2 linked regions of the Macaca fascicularis genome follow. The protein of the gene in region 1 interacts with the protein of each later gene in a biochemical or structural test. Links are inferred from orthologs where the notes say so. Each region holds a gene or a part of one and is shown on either strand. Other genes may lie near its edges.

What was found.
Region 2: the proteins of MAP3K7 (region 1) and NOD2 form a complex in vitro, tested with the Homo sapiens proteins (2 studies listed by BioGRID). The link is inferred for Macaca fascicularis from reciprocal best matches to the Homo sapiens genes MAP3K7 and NOD2.

Annotation. Positions count from the first base shown.
Region 1 is NC_088378.1:84,779,979-84,789,789, reverse strand, and holds the start of MAP3K7 (mitogen-activated protein kinase kinase kinase 7), read right to left. Parts: upstream 6,394-9,811; 5' UTR 6,186-6,393; coding exon 6,066-6,185; intron 1-6,065. UniProt on the Homo sapiens protein: Serine/threonine kinase which acts as an essential component of the MAP kinase signal transduction pathway. Plays an important role in the cascades of cellular responses evoked by changes in the environment.
Region 2 is NC_088394.1:46,651,839-46,661,475, forward strand, and holds the start of NOD2 (nucleotide-binding oligomerization domain-containing protein 2), read left to right. Parts: upstream 1-4,700; 5' UTR 4,701-4,796; coding exon 4,797-4,881; intron 4,882-7,045; coding exon 7,046-7,512; intron 7,513-9,637. UniProt on the Homo sapiens protein: Pattern recognition receptor (PRR) that detects bacterial peptidoglycan fragments and other danger signals and plays an important role in gastrointestinal immunity.

The DNA.
Region 1 (9,811 bases):
ACTACTAAATTTCTAGTCCAAGTTCACAAATCAAACATGCTTTCTGAATTGTATTCTTTTCTAAATAATATAGTTTATTTGACACACTATAATTAACAATTCGGTTTTTCTGTTTTTTTAAATTTTTTATAGAGACAGGGTCTCACTATGTTGCCCAGACTCGTCTCAAACTCCTGGTCTCATACAATCTCCCACCTTGGCCTCCCAAAGTATTGGGATTACAGGTGTGAGCCACCGTACCTAGCCCAACATTATTTTAAATGACTGTTTTTTTCCCCAAAGATGAATTTTCATCAAAAGTGTAAAAAGGAGAACATATCAAGTTACAAGTATCTCCCCTACCATACGCATCCAACTAAAATGTTGATCTACAAATAAATATTCCAGATATTCTTCATGACCCTTCATTTGTGAAAAACAAGAGGAATGCAAAAAGGACTTTGGTTATAAAAGGGAGGTCAATTTGGAAATATTTCCTTCTAAATTTATGAATGTTTTCTAAATCACAATGTTTTTGATTAATTACTTTATGATAAGCATTGCTCCCCCTATGGTTGAATCCTCTTTGTTTTGGGTCTAAAACTTTAGTCTCATACAATTAAGTAGATTTAAATTTAATTTTTTAATAAAAATATAGAAGAATATGAGATGGTATATAGAATATTTCCATGCAATTACTATTGAAGGCACAAAAACAAAAGTCACGTTTTGTGTGTATGTGTTATTTTTAAAGAAATTCCTTTAAAAATTAGTTTCTTGATGATGCAAGATGACCCCATTCCTTCAGACAAGTCATGTTAAAGAAAACAAGCAAACACACACCTAACCTAAACTAAATGGAAAAGGATGTATGCCTTTGTGCTCTTAATTTATTATTAAATAATTCTTTTAATTGTTCCGAATTCATGTTATTTTTAGTTCAGTAACCATAGCTTCAGTTTCATCTGGCTCTGTTCTATGAACTATCTGAATGGACCCCTGGTGATACTGGCATTGTTCTGGCTAGAAATGCAGAACATGACAGAACAAGCATAGATCATACATTTATTAGTTAGGACTTAGAGCCTCCAACTATGTTAGAACTTCAATATCTATTAATAAACTGTGGTAGAGTGGAACTGCCATCTGCTGACAAGATGGATTTGATAACATAAAAGTAAAGCTTTGATTATTCAAGCTTTCTTCTGAATTTTTCATGCAGTCTTTTAATACCTGCCACAATACATCTCACCCGTTTACTAGGCTTTTATTTCAAATAATATGCTCATGCTATCTTTTAAGCTACACATGTACAATACAAAAATTATCTCTGTAGCTACCTCTTTAGTAATTCCAGATTTCTACTGAAATCAGTGGTCACTTTCACATCAAAGAATGTATTTATTTTAGGTATCTATAATTAAATAGTGACTAACAAATCTACGTACTCAGTTTGTTTAGACCACTATAAATTAGGTTTTTCTCTAATACCAATTCCCCATATATTTATAACTTAAACCTACAAAATACATGCAACTGTATAAGTTCTATCTATATTTCCTCTTGGTAGTATATTTTAGCTTTTAAAACAAAACCTTTGTGTGTCTCCTTAACAAGGCTGAAGAATACATACAAATGCTGCAGTAATTTTATGTGTCCAATACAGTAGCTTTGTTCCTACACTATAGTTGAGGTCAGCATTATGGGTCTTCCTTTTCAAAAGCAACTATTGTAAATAGGGTCTTTTTAGCACTCTGTAGTAAAGACCTACCATTCGTGGCTTACTCATAGCATCTGGCCCTTTACAGCATCTTTTATCCCTGCTAAACAAAAGTATCTGCTAACTATAATAGAGTTGACATTAAAACAAGACTCAGATCTCATTTCTAATGTAAGTGTTGCCTTAGCCAAATCACGTAACTTAGCTCGTTTTATCACATGTAATATAAGAGAACAAGATAGGCATTTAATTCTTATGATTATGCTGTGATACTTTCATGTACTAATTGAACAAATATTTATAGAGATTCTAGATTCTGGGCATTGGGGTTACAAAAGTGAATAAAGCACCTTACATTTTGCTGAAGGAGAGACACAATTTCAGTTACTGGTAAGTACCATGAAAGATAATAGAAATGACAAAGATCTAGGTTGCTCAGGGAATGCTTCTCTAAGGAAGTATTAATAACATTTGAGGTGGGACTTGATTGGTGAGGAGTCAGTCATTTTAAGTTCTGGGGGAACAGCACTTCAGGCAGAGGAACAACTGCAAAGAAAATTCATCTTAGTGACTTTCCCAACCCATGATGGTCACCTTATTCAAAACCTAGTTTTAAACTTGTCCCTACTCAATGGAACCTTCTGTTATTAACTCTATTTTCAAATTATGGCTTAAGTGTTTAATTTACACTATATTCACAGTTTTAAATCTGTGGTCTATGGTTAACTGTTTTGTGTTTACTCCAGTCTCATATCATACTAAGTCAGACATTTTAAGGAGGTAATCCTAGGATTCTTCTGTCATCTATTTTTTTTTTTTTGACACAGAGTCTCGCTCTGTTGTGCAGGCTAGGGTGCAGTGGTGTGATCTCAGCTCACTGCAACCTCTGCCTACTGGGTTCAAATGATTCTCATGCCTCAGCCACTCAAGTAGCTGGGATTACAAGCTTGTGCCACCATACCTAGCTAATTTTTGTATTTTTAGCAGTGACAGGGTTTCTCTGTGTTGGCCATGGTGGTCTTGAACTCCTGGCCTCAAGTGATCTGCCCGCATTGGCCCTCCAAAGTACTGGGATTATAGGTGGGAGCCATCGCACCAAGCCCTATTCATCTTTTATAGTACCTCAGAGTATTATGCACAGATGAGAATGCTCATTAAATGCTCAGGACCAAGTACACTAAAAAGGAAATCAGTTTTTTGTTTCCCCTTTCCCATGTTAGGTTTGTTTATAGAGTACTTCAGAAAGTACTGAGTGACACTGTAAATCCAGTGGAAAGGGCAACTGACTCACAAGTGAGAAATCTCATATTCAATTCCCAGCTTTACCATTTACTTAGGCATGCAGCTTCTGGCAAGTCAAACTCTATGACTGCTTGTCAAGATCTGTAAAATGGTATATCATTTGCCAGGTCAACCCAGGATTAGTTGGTCACCAACTAAATTCTACAGGAGACCATGATCACTGTACGTAAAGAACTTCTAAGGTTACTGTAGAAAACAGTTAAATACTGGAAAAAATGAATGTGTTTTCATTTTAGAACTGGAAAAGACCTTAAATGATCTTGTTTAATCCCTCAGTTTACATAAGTAACCACAGGCCCAGAAAAACGTGGTGACTTCCTCAAAGTTACAAAAATATATTATGGCAGAATCAGTACAGCATCTACATTTTCTAATTTTCAGTCCAGAACACTTTCCACTATACCACCCTGTGTAACACTTCTTGCAACCCATCCCCTCTTTTATTCCAATATTCTTTACAGCCAGATCTAGATGGTAAACACTAAATGACTTTTAAAAAGTACCTAGGCAGATTTCTGAGGCTGAGACTTTACCTAATTTGATTGAACTGAACTGAATCTAAGATGTGACAAACTAATACTATTGAGTTACAATATTAGAAATGCAAGATCAGCTGATGTCTTAGAAATATGTATCTACTAAATGATTGCATATTTGGCCTGTGGTTGAATTATTTTTTTTTACAGTTTCTAATTATATTGATATAATGCAATTCAATTATATTGAGAAATACATAATATGATTTTCTTAATTTAGAAGGTAATATTCTCATACAATATAAAATATTGAAAGCAACATAAAGTAGTTTTTGTTTCTGGTCATCTTCCTCTGTTATCTTACAACTGAACTGGAAGTGTAATCTAAGTTGACAAATAGCTAATAAGTGTCCTTGGTTCACTCTGGATTGTGTAACACTGGTTTAATGTATGCAAATGAAGAACATGATGGAAATTATGTAATGCTTTCAATATCAGAAAGATCCAAATACAATCTTTAATGCAAAAATGAACTGAGTATTAAAAATGAAGGGGAATAAAACAAACAAAAAACCCAAATGACTGCCTAATATTAAAAACAAATTTTCGTCTAAAAACAAAATCCTACTCCCCAGAAATGTCCTAAACACACGCACACCCACATACACACAAAGATTGAAACATTATCTAAATTGAGAGAAGGGTCTTGGAAACACAGAAACCTAACCAGAAGTGAAATAGCTTTAGGGGAAGAACATCAAAATGATAACTACCTCCTTAGTAATTTGTTTTTCCATGAATCAAGAATGTAAAAAGCTTTAGAAAGTAGCATACAAAAACTAAGGTTGTAAGAACCAAATGAAGTAAGTTTGTGAAAGCATTTGGTAGACCATAAAGCACAAGTTATTATTATATAACAATTTGTAGTCTACAAGCATAGCAATTCACCACAGAGGAGACGTAAACGCTTATTTAAAAACTGCAATTCTTGTATACTGACTCATGGAATTTTTATTCTTAAAAAAGAATATTAGCCATGAAAGTTGGATCAACTATCCACTTCTGGAAAAGGAATTTATCATAGCCTCAATGTAAAAAAAAAAAACTTAAAAACATTCCCCCCTCTTTTCAAAATACAGGTCTTCTTTTAGCCATGTGACCTTAAAGCAGGTCACATTTCCTCTCTGGAACTAGGTTTCCTAATATGTGTCAGGCCCTGTGGTAGGTGTTTTGCATATAATGTCTACTAAGATCTGTTATGCAGATAAGATGAAACAGAATTTATTAGCCCTTTCTAAAACTAAAATTCAAAGGGGTTAGGAAACTTGCCCCAAATCACACAGCTAATAATGGCATATCTGATACATTGAACTTTCCTCTAATTCCAAAGACCTTGCTTTTCCCACCATATTATCTTGTAAAATGAGGATGTTCTCAATGATCTCTAAAGTTACTTTATGTGATAAAAAGTATATAATTCAGTAATCCATTACTCTTCCAAAACATGCACAGGAAAAAAAAATTTATTTGTTGAACGTTATCTCACTACTTCGAACTTGCTGACACTTAAAAATAATTTTAGAATTTTAAAGTAGACATAACTTGTTGACAATCTATAATATTTCACTAGGTTTTTCACGGGATATATAACGCAAGTGCTTAATAAATTAAAAAAACGGCAAATAAATGGTAAGATATAGTATTTTCAGCCAAAGTTTTTAACAAGTTCTAAAGTCTCTTTAAAAAATATATATGCAGCTTTTACTTTTCTAAATTTTATAGTCATTAGAACCCAATTTACCTCTCTGTTAATCTGAAAAGCAACACTTTAAAGTCACTTTGAAATAGCTTGTTCTAAAATGAATTACTGCAGAATAAAGAAAGGATATGGGTTTTCTGATAGCGATTTCCAGTCTAATGTTATATTCTGATTGTCACCGATCATTCGTTATCTCTTCAGAATATGCTACTTGAAACATCTTTTGATCGTAGACCAGTCTGTGTTACTTATGGTGAAATTCACCTACGTTAGCCCAACTGAAAGCCGAGCGTTTAAACATTACGAGTATTGCTGTGCGGTATCGGAGAAACTGAGAACCATTCGATGCTAAGGGAAACACTTTATTAGACTTGATGATCTACTAATTTAACAAGCATTTATTGAGCATCCCCTACATGCCAGATACTGAAGTAGAAGTCGAACATAATACAATTATTGGCCATTAAGAACTTCACGTCCAGCGGACTGAAACTCCAGAACGGCTACGATCTTCGCTGAAACTACTACTTACAGATACGAGAACTGGAGGACCACACTGTCTCACCAGTTCATTCTCCTGTTTATCACCGGAATATCAAATCCAAAAGCAAGAGTACTCAAGACAGGAAAAAAGGCAGCTACTCCCAAGCAGTTGAGCTCAGAGAGTAACCCCCACTCCCACGTCAGTGAAGGCTGTTGGGTCTCCCGGGTGGACCCCACAGGGTCCCGCGAATTAGAGGGGCCGGGGAGGCACCTTCAGAGCCGGGACCAGACAGAGGCAGGGGCGGGCCGGGCCGGTACCGGCGTCTCCATGCAGGGCCTCGCTCACCTCTTCCACCTCGATTTCCTTGTAGTCGATCTCTTCAAAGTTGAGGACTTGAGAAGGGGCTTCGATCATCTCACCGGCCGAAGACGAGGAGGAGGAGGAGGCGGCAGAGGCTGTAGACATGATCCCTCGCGGCGCCCGGTGGGGCCGGGAGCGGTGCCGCCCGGACAATCCGGGTGAGATCCACGCCCACCCGCCTCCGGACCGACCCTCAGGCTGGAGCCGCGCAGTCCTGCTACCCGGCGATCCGTGGCGGGGATAGCGGCAGCGGCCACAGCCGGGTCCGGATCTGGCTCCGCTGCGTTTTCCGCCGCTGGGCCCCGCCCACTACACTTCCGGTTCCGGGCTGAAATCGGAAACAGGAGGTGGGCCGTAAACTCCGGGGGAGGGAAGGGGAGAATTTTGTGACTTGGAAAGAAAAGGAGGGACAGGTTGGGGGTGGGGTGGAGTAAACTAAGAAGCAAGCTTGGACCTCTAGAACAAATTTCGCGAGACCTTTATTACAGGGCCTCAGCAACCGGATGATACCGCGAGAGAGGACGCCTGACGTAATTAAAGTGCGCGAACGGAAGTGGCGCGGAACATGACGGAAAATCAGCACGGTTGGTCCCTTAAGGACCAGCGGGAAAGATAAAAGCTGGCGTTTAGTCTCTGCTGTGTGAAGTATGTCTTGGCCTCTCTTTCTCTCCTTTGAGCTGCCAGCAGACGGGCGAGGTGGTGTTGAACTGTGTTTTTTGTGACGAAGCTTGCTTTTAAGTTTCATCCCTCAACTAAGTTGACCTGTTTCTTTAAGACGGCTTGCAAAATGTGTTTTCCTCAATGTGGGATATGGAAGGAAGCAGTTGCTCCTGTTACTTTGAGCTAGTCCCTGACGCTATGAGAAATTCTAAAAGAGCGAATCAGATCATGCAACATGAATAACTATGGAGGCTGAGTGATCAAAAACAGAAGTTAATATTTTGGTGTTACAAACTTTACACAGATTAGGTGGATAAGATATTTACACTTTGGTGTGTTCATCTCAAGTTATGGATTACGAGTGCGGGGCACTAGTGCTTTAGATTGGTAAATGAATCATCAACAGTCTCCTTGAAAATCAAATATTTTCATCACCATTTTCAGGACGTGAGAAAATACACTCAGAGTTTAAAGCAATTATGGTCCTTACAAACTAGATCAATCTGTCCCCAAGATGGTCAGTATTGCTCATGTTGTACTACCAGCACAAGTTTTAGTTTTAAACTAACTGTTGAACTTTATATAGTCCGTTTGACATAAAGCCTAACTGTGGAAAATTGGAGTTAGAGATGAAGATTTAAAGACCAAGGATGGATTCCTGCGAATGTCAAATTCTAAGTTTCAGTAAGAGACTGAAAGGAGGAAGTGAGGAAAATAGTAATTGGAACATCACCAGAGGTGAGCTTTCCAATGAAGAAGTAGCCAACCAAGTATATGCTGTACAGAATTATGTTAAACACATTTGGGATTGCAACTAGATCATTGGATTTGACCATCAAGAAGTTACAAACTTCTTGGAAACGTTCTGTCACTTTTTATTCACAGTTCTAGTGACTCGCAATGACAGTTTGATGAGTGGATAAAAAAATGAAAGAAGCAATAATTTCTTTCCACTGTACACTCTTTGTTTGCATGATCTTACCCAAGGTCTCTGTTTCTCATACCATTTTTATAATGATGACTTCTAATCTCCGAATACTCAAGATTTTTCCTGAATTCTGGACCTATTGGACATCTCTATTTAGATAAACAACTAAACTTCAAGATACCACAGCAAATTCAAAAGTTGTCACCCACCACAAATATATTTCTATGTGATTTTCCTATATCACGTAAGGATGCCATCACCCAGTTGGTTGTCTGAGAAGTCAGGGCATGTGAAATGATGTGTGGTGCACTGATACCCAATATAAGCTGATTTAATCAGTGGCACAGTCATTTTCACCTGTCATTCCCCTTGCATTTCCAAACAAGGATGGTCACTTCTTACCTTGTGCTATAACTGCAGGTCTATATCTGATTTCCCTTTAACACCTTGATCTTGCTGCCAGGTGGGAACTCAATAAATACTTACATATTCTGTACAAATGAATAGCTTTTGTCAGTCCTCCCTTTCCCTGGAGTATAAGACATGTTTTCTGTACCTTCAGTTTAGGACTGGAATCTTGACAAAGGGCTAATTACTACAGCCATGATGCAGTTCTCCTGCTTGATTATTTTTCCCCAAAATTTTGTTACAAAAATGTCAAATATAGAGAAAGGTTGAAAGAATGTTTATCATAATATACATATGTGCATCTCTCCATTCATCCGTATTTACATCCATCTACCATTTTGCTAGATGCATTTCGAAGTGAATTGATTACATGATTTTGAATATCTTCTACCCCAACACTTCTGTGTTTTATCCACTGATTTGGACTTCTGATATTGATGCCAGTCTAAAATCAATTTTTGTCCAACTTGCTTGGAGATTATTTTTTTCTTTTTTGTCTGCCTGCGCCTTTTCCCTAGCTTCTGATAATAGATGGAAAGTTTCATCAGTGTTTATGTCTCTGGGTTCAGTCATTCCCAAGGTTCAATCCATCGCTCACATTCTGTGATTTGGTTATGTGAGCTAGTAAATTACCATTTCATTTAAGCTGGTCCCAGCTGCATTTTTTGTATGACAAAAAATGCAGGATTATCTTGCAACCAAATAATCCTAAGTAATAAAGTTTAAATGCAGAGGAATGATGGAGGGGAACTGAACCTCTCTCAGTTCACTTCAATTTTGACTTTGCATTTCCTTTAACTTTCATGAATAAAGGATAGAAGCTTGACTTCACAATTTCATGTCAGCTTCAGTCACCAGTCCATATGTCTCTACAAATTTCCAGATACATATCAAAACTATTTAGGTAAATTCCTTGAAGTCCCTCTGAGTTCGAGCACTCTCTACCATTCTCCCTCATGTCAGCACCCTAATAACTACTCTCTAACTTCCAACTCTGTCTTCAATTTTGGCCCTTTTATACTCTCCAGGGGATGAGAGGACAAGGGTTTCAAAATCCATTTCCCACCTCCTCTTCACTTGTTCTAAATGAGGTTCTGATCCTATTTGGCTCATTTTGGGTGTAGCAATATCTGGGACCTATTTTCATGGAGGCTTAGCAGAAACTGGGACTAAAGTAGCAGCACTTTAATGTTCTGGGTCACATATATGTCAGACAAGTGCTCCATATTTCCATCATAGGCTTGATGATAACATCAATAATTAAGTTTCCATTATTCTCTTCTGCCTTTTGTGGTATTTGCTATAGTCTAGAATAGTGTTTCTCAATCTTTTTTTCTTTCATTATTGCTCTTTTAAGGAGCCTTTTTAGACTTCTTAATGCCCTCCTCAAATTTTAATACCTCAGATACACTGTATATCTATTTATGTATTGTATGTATATTTGTTCTTTATGTGTAAAAAGGGTAAGATTTTTCTCTCCCCAGTTTTTGCCCCATTTGGAGGTGTTATTGCCTCCATTGAGAATGCATGTACTACCAGTTTCATTCTTCACATGACATATCACAAAGTACAACAGAGAGCATCGCTTGGTAGCCATCTCAGAAGAACAGGTAAACATTCTCTTTCAAAAGCCCTTGGTAAGTGTATCCTTGAGGGATGGGAAACAGGATGCATGAGGATACACACACAGTCATGTGCTGCATAATGATTTTTTGGCCAACGGACGTCATATGTG
Region 2 (9,637 bases), on another chromosome or scaffold:
TTGAGGGAAGCGAGGGGTGTGTGTGTGTATTGGGAAGCAGGTTTGTGTGTGGGGGGAGGCAGGGCGTGTGTGTGTGTGTGTATGTGAGTATTGGGAAGCAGGGTGTGTGTGTTGGGGGAAGCAGGGCGTGTGTGTGTTGGGAAGGGGTGTGTGTGTGTGTTGGGAAGCGGTGTGTGTGTTGGGAAGTGGTGTGTGGGGGGTGTGTGGTGTGTGTGTGTTGGGAAGCGGTGTGTGTGGGCTGTGTGTGTGTTGGGAAAGCAGGGTGTGTGGTGTGTGTGTGTTGGGAAGTGGGGTGTGTGTATATTGGGGAGCATGTTTGTGTGTTGGGAAGCGGTGTGTGTGTGTGTGTTGGGAAGCGGTGTGTGTGTTGGGAAGTGGTGTGTGGGGGGTGTGGGGTGTGTGTGTGTTGGGAAAGCAGGGTGTGTGGTGTGTGTGTGTTGGGAAGTGGAGTGTGTGTGTGTGTGCACGTGTGTGTTGGGAAGCGGTGTGTGTGTTGGGAAAGCAGGGTGCGTGTGTTGGGAAGTGTGTGTGTGTGTGTACGCGAGTGTTGGGAAACAGGGTATGTGTGTTGGGGGAAGCGAGGGGTGTGTGTGTGTATTGGGAAGCATGTTTGTGTGTGGGGGGGAAGCAGGGCGTGTGTGTGTGTGTATGAGTGTTGGGAAGCAGGGTGTGTGTGTTGGGGGAAGCAGGGTGTATGTGTGTGTGTTGGGAAGCGGTGTGTGTGTGGTGTGTGTGTGTGCGTGTGTGTTGGGAAGCGGTGTGTGGTGTGTGTGTGTTGGGAAGCGGTGTGGTGTGTGTGTGTGTGTGTGTGTGTGTGTGTGTGTGTGTGTGTTGGGAAGCGGGTTGTTCCGACGACTCCCCGGTTCCCTCCTGGTTGAAACGTGGCCCAGAAAGAGAGGCACACTGGCCAGGGCACACAGCCAGGGCCGTCCAGCCCCGCAGGCAGCCCCGGTCCTGCCCTGTCCCAGGTGAGCGTGGCCAGTCCTGGAGCTGGCCCTGCGGGGCTGCGGGGCCACGGGACAGGAGCCGGTGCTGCGGTCCGGGCAGAGCAGGGGCGGGGTCCGGGCGGGGGCGGAGCCGAGCGCCCGCGCAACCGGAGCCGCAGCCCGAGCCGGAGCCGGAGCCGGGGCCGGGAGTCGTGGCCCGGAGCGGGCCTTGGAGTCGGCGCCCAGGTGGCTCGCGGTGAGTGATGTGCCCAGCGCCTGGGGGTGGGCTAAGGGGAGACTGTGGGCGCCGAGGGTCCCGTCCCCGTGACTTGAACACTTGGCTTCCGAGCCGTCCTGGCCGCAGGGCTTGGGCAAGGGTTGCCTCGGTTTCTCCTAGGGGAGTCCCGGGGTGTAGGTGGGAAGTGAGACGGAAAGGGGGCATCTCGAGGTGGGGGAGGTCCCCGGCAGGAGTGAGCAGTCCTGAGGAGCCTGGGCTTCAGGTCTCAGAGGGGGCAACTCTTTTGGTTTCCTTCCTCTCTGTGGGACTCAGTTTCCCATCTTCACCCTGCCAGAGAGTGGGTGGGTGTAAGTGGGCGAGTCTGCCTGGAGGATCCTACTGCTGCTCTCCGCACCTCTTAGGGGAATCTCCTGCCTCCTGCTTCTCCCTTGTTGGGTGTGAGATCAAAGTTTAAATCCATCCCTTCCCAGACAGCCCACATCAGGACCCGCGAGGCCACATCTCCTGTCTGTTTGCTCTCCTCTGCTTCTCAAGTTGATGGAGCAGCCATCTGGTCCTGCTTTCATCCCAACACACTGAAAAGCCCTCCACCTCAATCCCCCTGGGGAGGGCCTCCTGAAGCTGCATGAGGGCTGGGGGCTGGACCCCTGCTTCTGACTTCGCTCTTTCTGAGCCCTTCCTGCCATGGCCTTGGTTTCCCCATGGGCTGTGACCTGGCCTCCTCCAGGGTCCTTGTTCTACAGAGGGGAAACACCTGCCCTGTCACCCTCCTCTAACCCTTTAGTGAAGAAGACCAGAGTGACATCCCCACCACCTGTACTTGCCTGACCCGATCACTCAGCCATGAGGCTGCTGGGGCCCCTGAGTTTGTTGGCCACTCAAGGCTCCTTTACCTCTCTGCACCCTGGGATCTGAGGCTGGAAGCATCCTCATCCAGCCCACCTCCCTCCTACCCATCGCAGAACCCCTCTGTGACACATGCCCAGTGGTGGGGAGCTTGCTACTGGTGAGGTGGCTTTTCAGTGCCTTGCAGCTCTTGTTTTCTTTAGCTAAAATCTATGGCTTGCAGATTCTACACCTTGGTTCCACCTCTGTCTCCCGGAGCCACGCAGAGCACGTCCATTCTTTCATTCATTCCGGCGATCATCATTCATGCACTGGATGAGACACAAGACAGAGCAATAGGAAAACCAGACAAAACTCCCTGCCCTCATGGAGTGCACATTCTAGAAAGGAATGGACAGCAATGAAATAAGTAAATACACGGCATGGCAGGTGGTGGGAAGTGCTATGAGTAAAACAAAACTGGGAAGCAGGATGGGGTGCTGGGGCTGGGTATTGCATTGTATATAGCACAGCCAGGGAAGGCTTCCCCAAGACCAGGAGAGCTGGGCAAAGTCATAAGGAGTTGAGGGGTGAGCCACGTGAGTATCTGGGGGGCTGGGAGGCTTTGGTTTTCACTCTGAGCATGATGGGAGCACTGGTTTGGAACAGAGGAGTCCCCTGCTCTGACTTGGGGTCTGGCAGGCCCACCTCGCTGTGGGGTGGAGAATGGGTCGTGGGGAGTGAGGTAAGGGCAGAAGGAGAGCCTGGTGAGAGGATCATTGCTGTCATTCTGGGGAGAGACCATGGTGGCTTGCACCATGGCCCAGAGGTAGTTAAAATAATAATTTAAAAAACAAGACATTCAGATTTGAGATATATTTCAAAGGCTGTGTCGATAGGATTTGGGGTGTAAGAGAAAGGTAGAGTCAAATATGATTCTGAGGTTTTGGCTCGAGCTTCTGGAGGTTTGAAGCTGCCATGAACTGAAATGGGAGTTGCTTAGGGGAGATTGAGAGTTTGGTTTTGTGCTTGTGGAGTCTGAGCTGTCCATTAGGCATCAGTGATGAGTAAGCAGTTGGGAAAAGTTAAGGGCGGAGGTTGGAGTTGGAAATAAAACTTTGGGCATTATCACCATATAGCTGGTATTTAAAGCCACAAGAGCAGGTGGTCTCATCTAGGGAGGGAGTGATATGGAGAAGAGAAGGGGTGCTGAGGCCCCCAGTGTTAGGAACCAGCCAAGAAGACAGAAAGAGTGAAAATCAGAGAGTTGGGGTGCCCTGGAGGAAATGAGGAAAATGCCCCAAAGAGGAAGGAGGGAACAAATATGACCAATGCCCCTGGCAGAGCAAGCAGGCTGAGGGCTGAGGATTGAGCAACGGGAGGTCACTGGTGACAGTTTCACTGGAGCTGGATGGGGAACTTGAGGGTGAGGGAGGGGATGGGAGGACTTGGGGACAGCAGTACAGGCAATAGACAAGGGGGTCTGCTATAAAGGGGAGCAGATAAATGGGATTGGAGCCAAATGAAGAAAGTGGGTGTCAAGAGAGGGCTTTACTTTTACAATGGAGAATATAGTGCATTGTGCACTGGTGGGGGGAATTGGTCTCTTAGGAAGAGAAGTTCAGTGCCGGGGAGGGAGAATGCAGGATGGCTGGGGGAGGGTGGGGGCGCTTGGCCCCAGCAGAGACCCGGGATACTTGGGAAGTTGCGCTTCCCTGGGCTTCCCTTCCTCTCCTGTCTGCAAGGGGTCAGTGGACTGAGATTTCAGCACTTAAGCAAAGCATTTGCTCTTGGCCCCAGAGAAACCAGGTTGGCTGTGGTCTCAGGAAGGAAGGAGCTGTCCAAGGCTCAGGCCTGGGCCTGGGTTTCAGGGAGGGCCCTTGTGGGTCGCTCCTTGACCCTCTCTTTCAGCAAGGAAGTGCTCCTTTCTCTACATGGGCCTCACCTTGGGGAGGACAATGGTGTCTTTGAAGTTGTAGTAACTGAAGTAGAGATCAAAAGGCAATGCAGATAGACTAATAGATTTTGCCTGAAGAGGGGAAGCCCGATCAGGTAATAAAGGGGTAAGAGGAAGGATGTGAAGGACAATTTTTAGGAAACAGATAATGAGTGAATATTTTTTCTGTCTCTTTCCCAAGTTAAACTGAAGCAGGAGAAACTGAAGCTAGACATAATGAATAAATTCCCAAGCTGGTGAGCTTCCTGAGCTGGTTAGTGAGGACAGCACTAAGGCCAGGCCCTCCTCTCCGGATGTTTAATATGAGACAGGACAATGCCTGCTCAGAGACAGGGGACTGGCTGAATTGGCCCTCAGGATTCTTTTTGCTCTGAGGTTTCTGGAAGAAGGCCAGGGCAGAGGTGCGGTGATGCAGCTGCTGGGAGGACAGAGCTCCGAGTCACGTGACTTGGGCGGCCCTCCCCTTCCTGGTGCCCACAGAAGCCCGACGTCACTAGCCGGGGTGTGTATGGCTCACACGTAGGCCAGGCTGCCCTAGGCTTGGTGTGCTAGGGAGGGGCCCCTACTTACTTGTGGCCTGTCCCCTCGTGAATGTGTCTCATGTCCCCAGTGGGGTTTTTCAGGGAGGGTCATGGTCTCCAGGATGCACAAGGCTTTGTGCCAGAATTGCCTGGAATTACCTAGTTCTGGAAGGCTGGTTGGCCAACTCTGGCCTCTGGCTTTTCCTTTGGGAATTTCCCTTGAAGGTGGGGTTGGTAGACAGATCCAGGCTCACCAGTCCTGTGCCGCTGGGCTTTTGGTGTTCTGCACAAGGCCCACCCACAGATGCCATGCCTGCTCCCCAAGCCTAATGGGCTTTGATGGGGGAAGAGGGGGTGGTCCAGTCTCTCCCGATGAGGAGGAAAGAGCAAGTGTCCTCCTCGGACATTTTCTGGGTAAGAGGAGCAGGCATTGTCCTGTCTCAGCTTGACTCTCAGCCTTCTTTCATCCCTGGCTGCGCGCATGCTCCCAGGCCTGGGGTGAGATGGGGAGTGCTGACTGTGTCTCTGGGCTGTTTTCTGGGGAGAGTGGGTGGGTGGTTATTTTCCCCAGGACCCTGGCAGGGGTGATGGTGGGGGCTGCTGTCGCGTCCTTGGCTGATGTTTCCACAGCTGAGAACCACTCCAGGGCCAAGCCCAGAGCTTATTCTACCCCCTTTTGGTCCTCTCTTCCCCCGTCCCCCGCCACCCCACCCTCTTGGCTCCTCTGCTTAGAGGTGAGCACGGGGAGGAGACCTCCTTGGCCTGAGAGAACTACCTTAGTTCCTGGATTCCAGTGGCCTGTGCAGGGGGGGGACACTCTCTCTCCCAAGCAGCCAGACACACACATAACCTCATTGCCTCCGTTTCCCCATCTGACCAGCACAGGGCCTCCTGTGCCCCAGCAGCGTTCTGAGAGATTGGAGGTTTTTCCTTTTGCTTACCTTGGCTGCCGTATGAGGATGGTTACAGTGTTCCTCCCACCCCCAGCCCAGGGGATATTTGATTCATGAACATTTCCACGGTGTCTCTGCGGGGGACAGTGCCGTGCCAGGCTCAGGGATGCTAGGACGAGTAAGACCCAGGCTTCCACGTGACCCAGGCAGGGAGAGAGACACATAAACAACCATCAGCAAAGAGGCAAAATCCCCAGGCCGCTTGGCGTCTACTCCCTCGAGTGGCTGGGAATGTCCCTGATTTATAAAAAGAAGCCGACGGCTCTCTTTGTTGTCCATGCCTACACCCTTTCACTTTCGTTTCTTCGAGGCACTGCACCAGCCCTTGTCCACAGACCCCACGACAATCGCAGAACTAACCATGCTGAGAGATTTTCTCAGCTGCTCAGAGATCCTCCCAGGGCTTGAAGCTCCTGGAGGGTTACTTGCCCTCAAATTCCCAGAACCCACAGCAGGTGGCTAACGGTAGCAGCAGCAGCAGTCTGTGCACGGTGGTTTCGAGGGCGTGGGAGGGAGGTGAGGGCCCTAGGGCAAGTGTGTGGGGGAAGTGTTGATGGGGGACAAGGCACGAGAACGCTTGGAAACAACTTAGTTTGCACCGTAATTTTTCACTTAGCCTAGGATAGGACCTTTAGAACAATATTCTGAGTGTACCCCTTGGAGTAGCAGTGTGCAAAACACACAGCAAGGGCTTGGGGCCCCCGTGGGGAACCCAAATGTAAGAGTTAGAGACATGCATTCTGGAGTTGCACACAGCTTGTGTTGAAATCCTGACTCTGCCTGTCTAGCTGTGACATGTCGTACAAATCGCTGAGCCTCTCGGTGCCTCAGTGTCTTCCTCTGTAAAATGGGCAGATCATAGGCACTACTTCAGAGTGGCTGGGAGGGTTCAGTGAATTCACGCAGGAGAGCACTTAGAATGGCGCCTGGTGTGTTGTTTATGCTTAATTAATATTAGCCATTACTGAAACTGCTGTAGCGTGAATCCGGCCAGTGTGGAGTCCCTCTCACCCTGCTTTGAAGAGAATGAATTCCCTGACTGCTCGGAAGATCTCTCTTTCTCTCTCTCTACTTTTTACATTTTTATTATTATTTTTTTGAGACAGGGTCTTGCTCTGTTGCCCAGGCTGGAGTGCAGCCTGCAACCTCTGCCTCCCGGGTTCAAGTGATTCTCCTACCTCAGCCTCCTGAGTAGCTGGGATTACAGGTGCCCACACCACGCCTGGCTAATTTTTGTATTTTTAGTAGAGAAAGGGTTTTACCGTGTTGGCCAGGCTGGTCTGGAACTCCTGATCTCAAGTGACCTTGGGAGATCTCTTGCTCCTCATATTACCTCAAGCCTTTTTAAATGTTTTAAGCCGGAGACCAAGCATGGATGTGGGAGTTAGGGGTCTTGATTTAATTCTTGGTTGCTTCAAACTCTCTGTGGGACCTTGAGGTGTTTCTTGCCTTCTCTGGGTCTCAATTTTCACATCTGTATGGTGGGGAGCTTGGATTGGGTAATGTCTGAGGCTAGAACCATGGCCAACTCGGGTTCTGCTGGGGCTGACTTGCCCTGGCCTTCCCCAGCCACCCCGCGTCTGGCTTCTGGAGAAGTCCTGCACTGACCTTGTTCTCCTCCCCAGGTTGTGAAATGTGCTCGCAGGAGGCTTTTCAGGCACAGAGGAGTCAGCTGGTGGAGCTGCTGGTCTCAGGGTCCCTGGAGGGCTTCGAGAGTGTCCTGGACTGGCTGCTGTCCTGGGAGGTCCTCTCCTGGGAAGACTACGAGGGCATCCACCTCCTGGGCCAGCCTCTCTCCCACTTGGCCAGGCGCCTCCTGGACACCGTCTGGAATAAGGGTACTTGGGCCTGTCAGAAACTTGTCGCTGCTGCCCAGGAAGCCCAGGCCGACAGCCAATCCCCCAAGCTGCATGGCTGCTGGGACCCCCACTCGCTCCACCCAGCCCAAGACCTGCAGAGTCACCGGCCAGCCATTGTCAGGAGGCTCCACAGCCATGTGGAGGGCGTGCTGGACCTGGCACGAGAGCGGGGTTTCGTCAGCCAGTACGAATGTGACGAAATCAGGCTGCCAATCTTCACACCGTCCCAGAGGGTGAGGCACTCCTGCATACATCACAAAGTTCCCAGGAAAGGGGTGCTTAGTCACCAAGACTGATTTGTCCTCATGAAGTCAGCCTGTGGGGTAACTTGGTCTGTGGGATTTCCCCTAAAAAGGTAGCCAGGCAGGTAAAATTTGCTCTTGACTCTTGGCAGGCAACATACAACTTTCTTTCCTTCTTTCTTTTTCCCTCCCCTCCCCTCTCCTCCCCTCCCCTCTCCTCCCTTCCCCTCTCCTCCCCTCCCCTCCCCTCTCCTCCCCTCCCCTACCCTCCCTTCCCCTCTCCTCCCCTCCCCTTCCCTCTCCTCCCCTCCCCTTCCCTCTCCTCCCCTCCCCTCCCCTCCCCTCTCCTCCCCTCCCCTCCCCTCTCCTCCCCTCCCCTCCCCTCTCCTCCCCTCCCCTCCCCTCTCCTCCCCTCCTCTCCTCTTCCTTCCCTTCCCTTCTTTTCCTTTTTGAAGTCTCACTCTGTTACCCAGGCTAGAATGCAGTGGCACAATCATAGCTCACTGTAGCCTTGAATTCCTGCACTCATGATCTTCTGGTCTCTGAGTAGCTGGGACTATGGGTGCTGTACCACCATGCACAGCTTTTTTTTTTTTTTTTTTTTCTTTTAGAGATGGGCTGTTGCTATGTTGCCCAGGCTGGTCTCCAGCTCCTGGTTTTAAGCAATCCTCCCGCCTTGGCCTCCCAAACAGTTGGGATTGCAGGCATGAACCGCTTTGCCTGGCCAACATACCACTTCTGCCGAGAGGAAGTGTGTGGTGGCCAGGGGCTCAGATTCTGAAGCCAGAATGGTGCAGGCTCAAGGTCAACCCTGTGTGATCTCAGGCTTCCCTGTGGAGCCTCTCCAGCCTCAGTCTCTCTTGTTTCAGTTTCCTCATCTATAAAACAATGGTAATAGTCAAATGGTGCCTATCCTATAAGGCTCTTGGGAGGATTCAGTGAGTTAAATTGAGTAATGCTTAGGATAGTGGCTATTACCACTGGCTGCTATTGATTATTTCTGTTATGAGTGATACTCTGTACTTGTACACTTTTGTTTCTGTCTGTTTTAAATTAACAGCACAACAGATCATAACATTGTAGTATGTTGAATCTCTATTTTATAATTAACGTGGCATATTATATACTAATATAGCTTAAATGTTTATGTAGGATTTCTGATATGAAATTGCATTAGATCATAGATGTTCAGAGTTGGGATATAACTGCCCCAAGAAGGTAATGACTCAACAGAGACCAGAAGGTCAGAGAAATGACCACTGAATATTTTTGAAACTCTTTTGTTTTCTTCCAAACAGTGATTCTTAGGGCTCCTGAGAGGCAGACGGAACACTCACTAACATTCCACTTTATAAATCAGGAAACTGAGACCAAGTAAAGTAGTTTGAATAAGCTCACAATAGTTAATGAGAGGGCCAATGCTGGACCAGCTGGCCAACATTGGTCATTGGCTTATTCATCCATCATTCATTTATTCATTCATTTATTCAGCCAGAATCTACTAGGTGCTTCATACATATTTGCTTAAAGTTTGTTGTCTTCATAGAGCTTTGCACATAGTAGGTACTCCATAAATATTTGTGGATGAAATAAATGAGTTATTGAATGAATGATTGAATTAGAATGACACTGCAGTATTAAATTGGGCTGGATTGGGGAACATTTTAGTTTTTATTTTTGTCTGTTTTCCAAAAATGTATGTGGTGTTCATGTGAGTCTGGGTAACCCTAGGTTGAGACTGATGAAATAAACGAATTTGTCTTCAAGGCTGCACTAAAGCTGGCTCATGTGGCTAGGTATTTACAGAGCAGACGTGGTGCAGTCCTCTCTGATTAGTTACACGTACAGAAGATATATTCATTATTGGACTGACCTGTTTCTCTTATAATTTATTAGGGGAATTGAATCAACCCGTCTGAGAAGTTACAAGATTGTGTCTTGTCATCTTTAAAAGTTCAGCAATGTGGTCTGGTACAGATGGTCTGAGGGGTTTGGAGAAGGTAGCCTAGATCCCTAGGGCCCAGAGAAGACAGGATATGAGCAGAGGAAGTACCTCCGAATTGGTGAAGAAAAGAAATGGGATAACTCATGGGTGAAAGAAGAAATCGTGATGGAA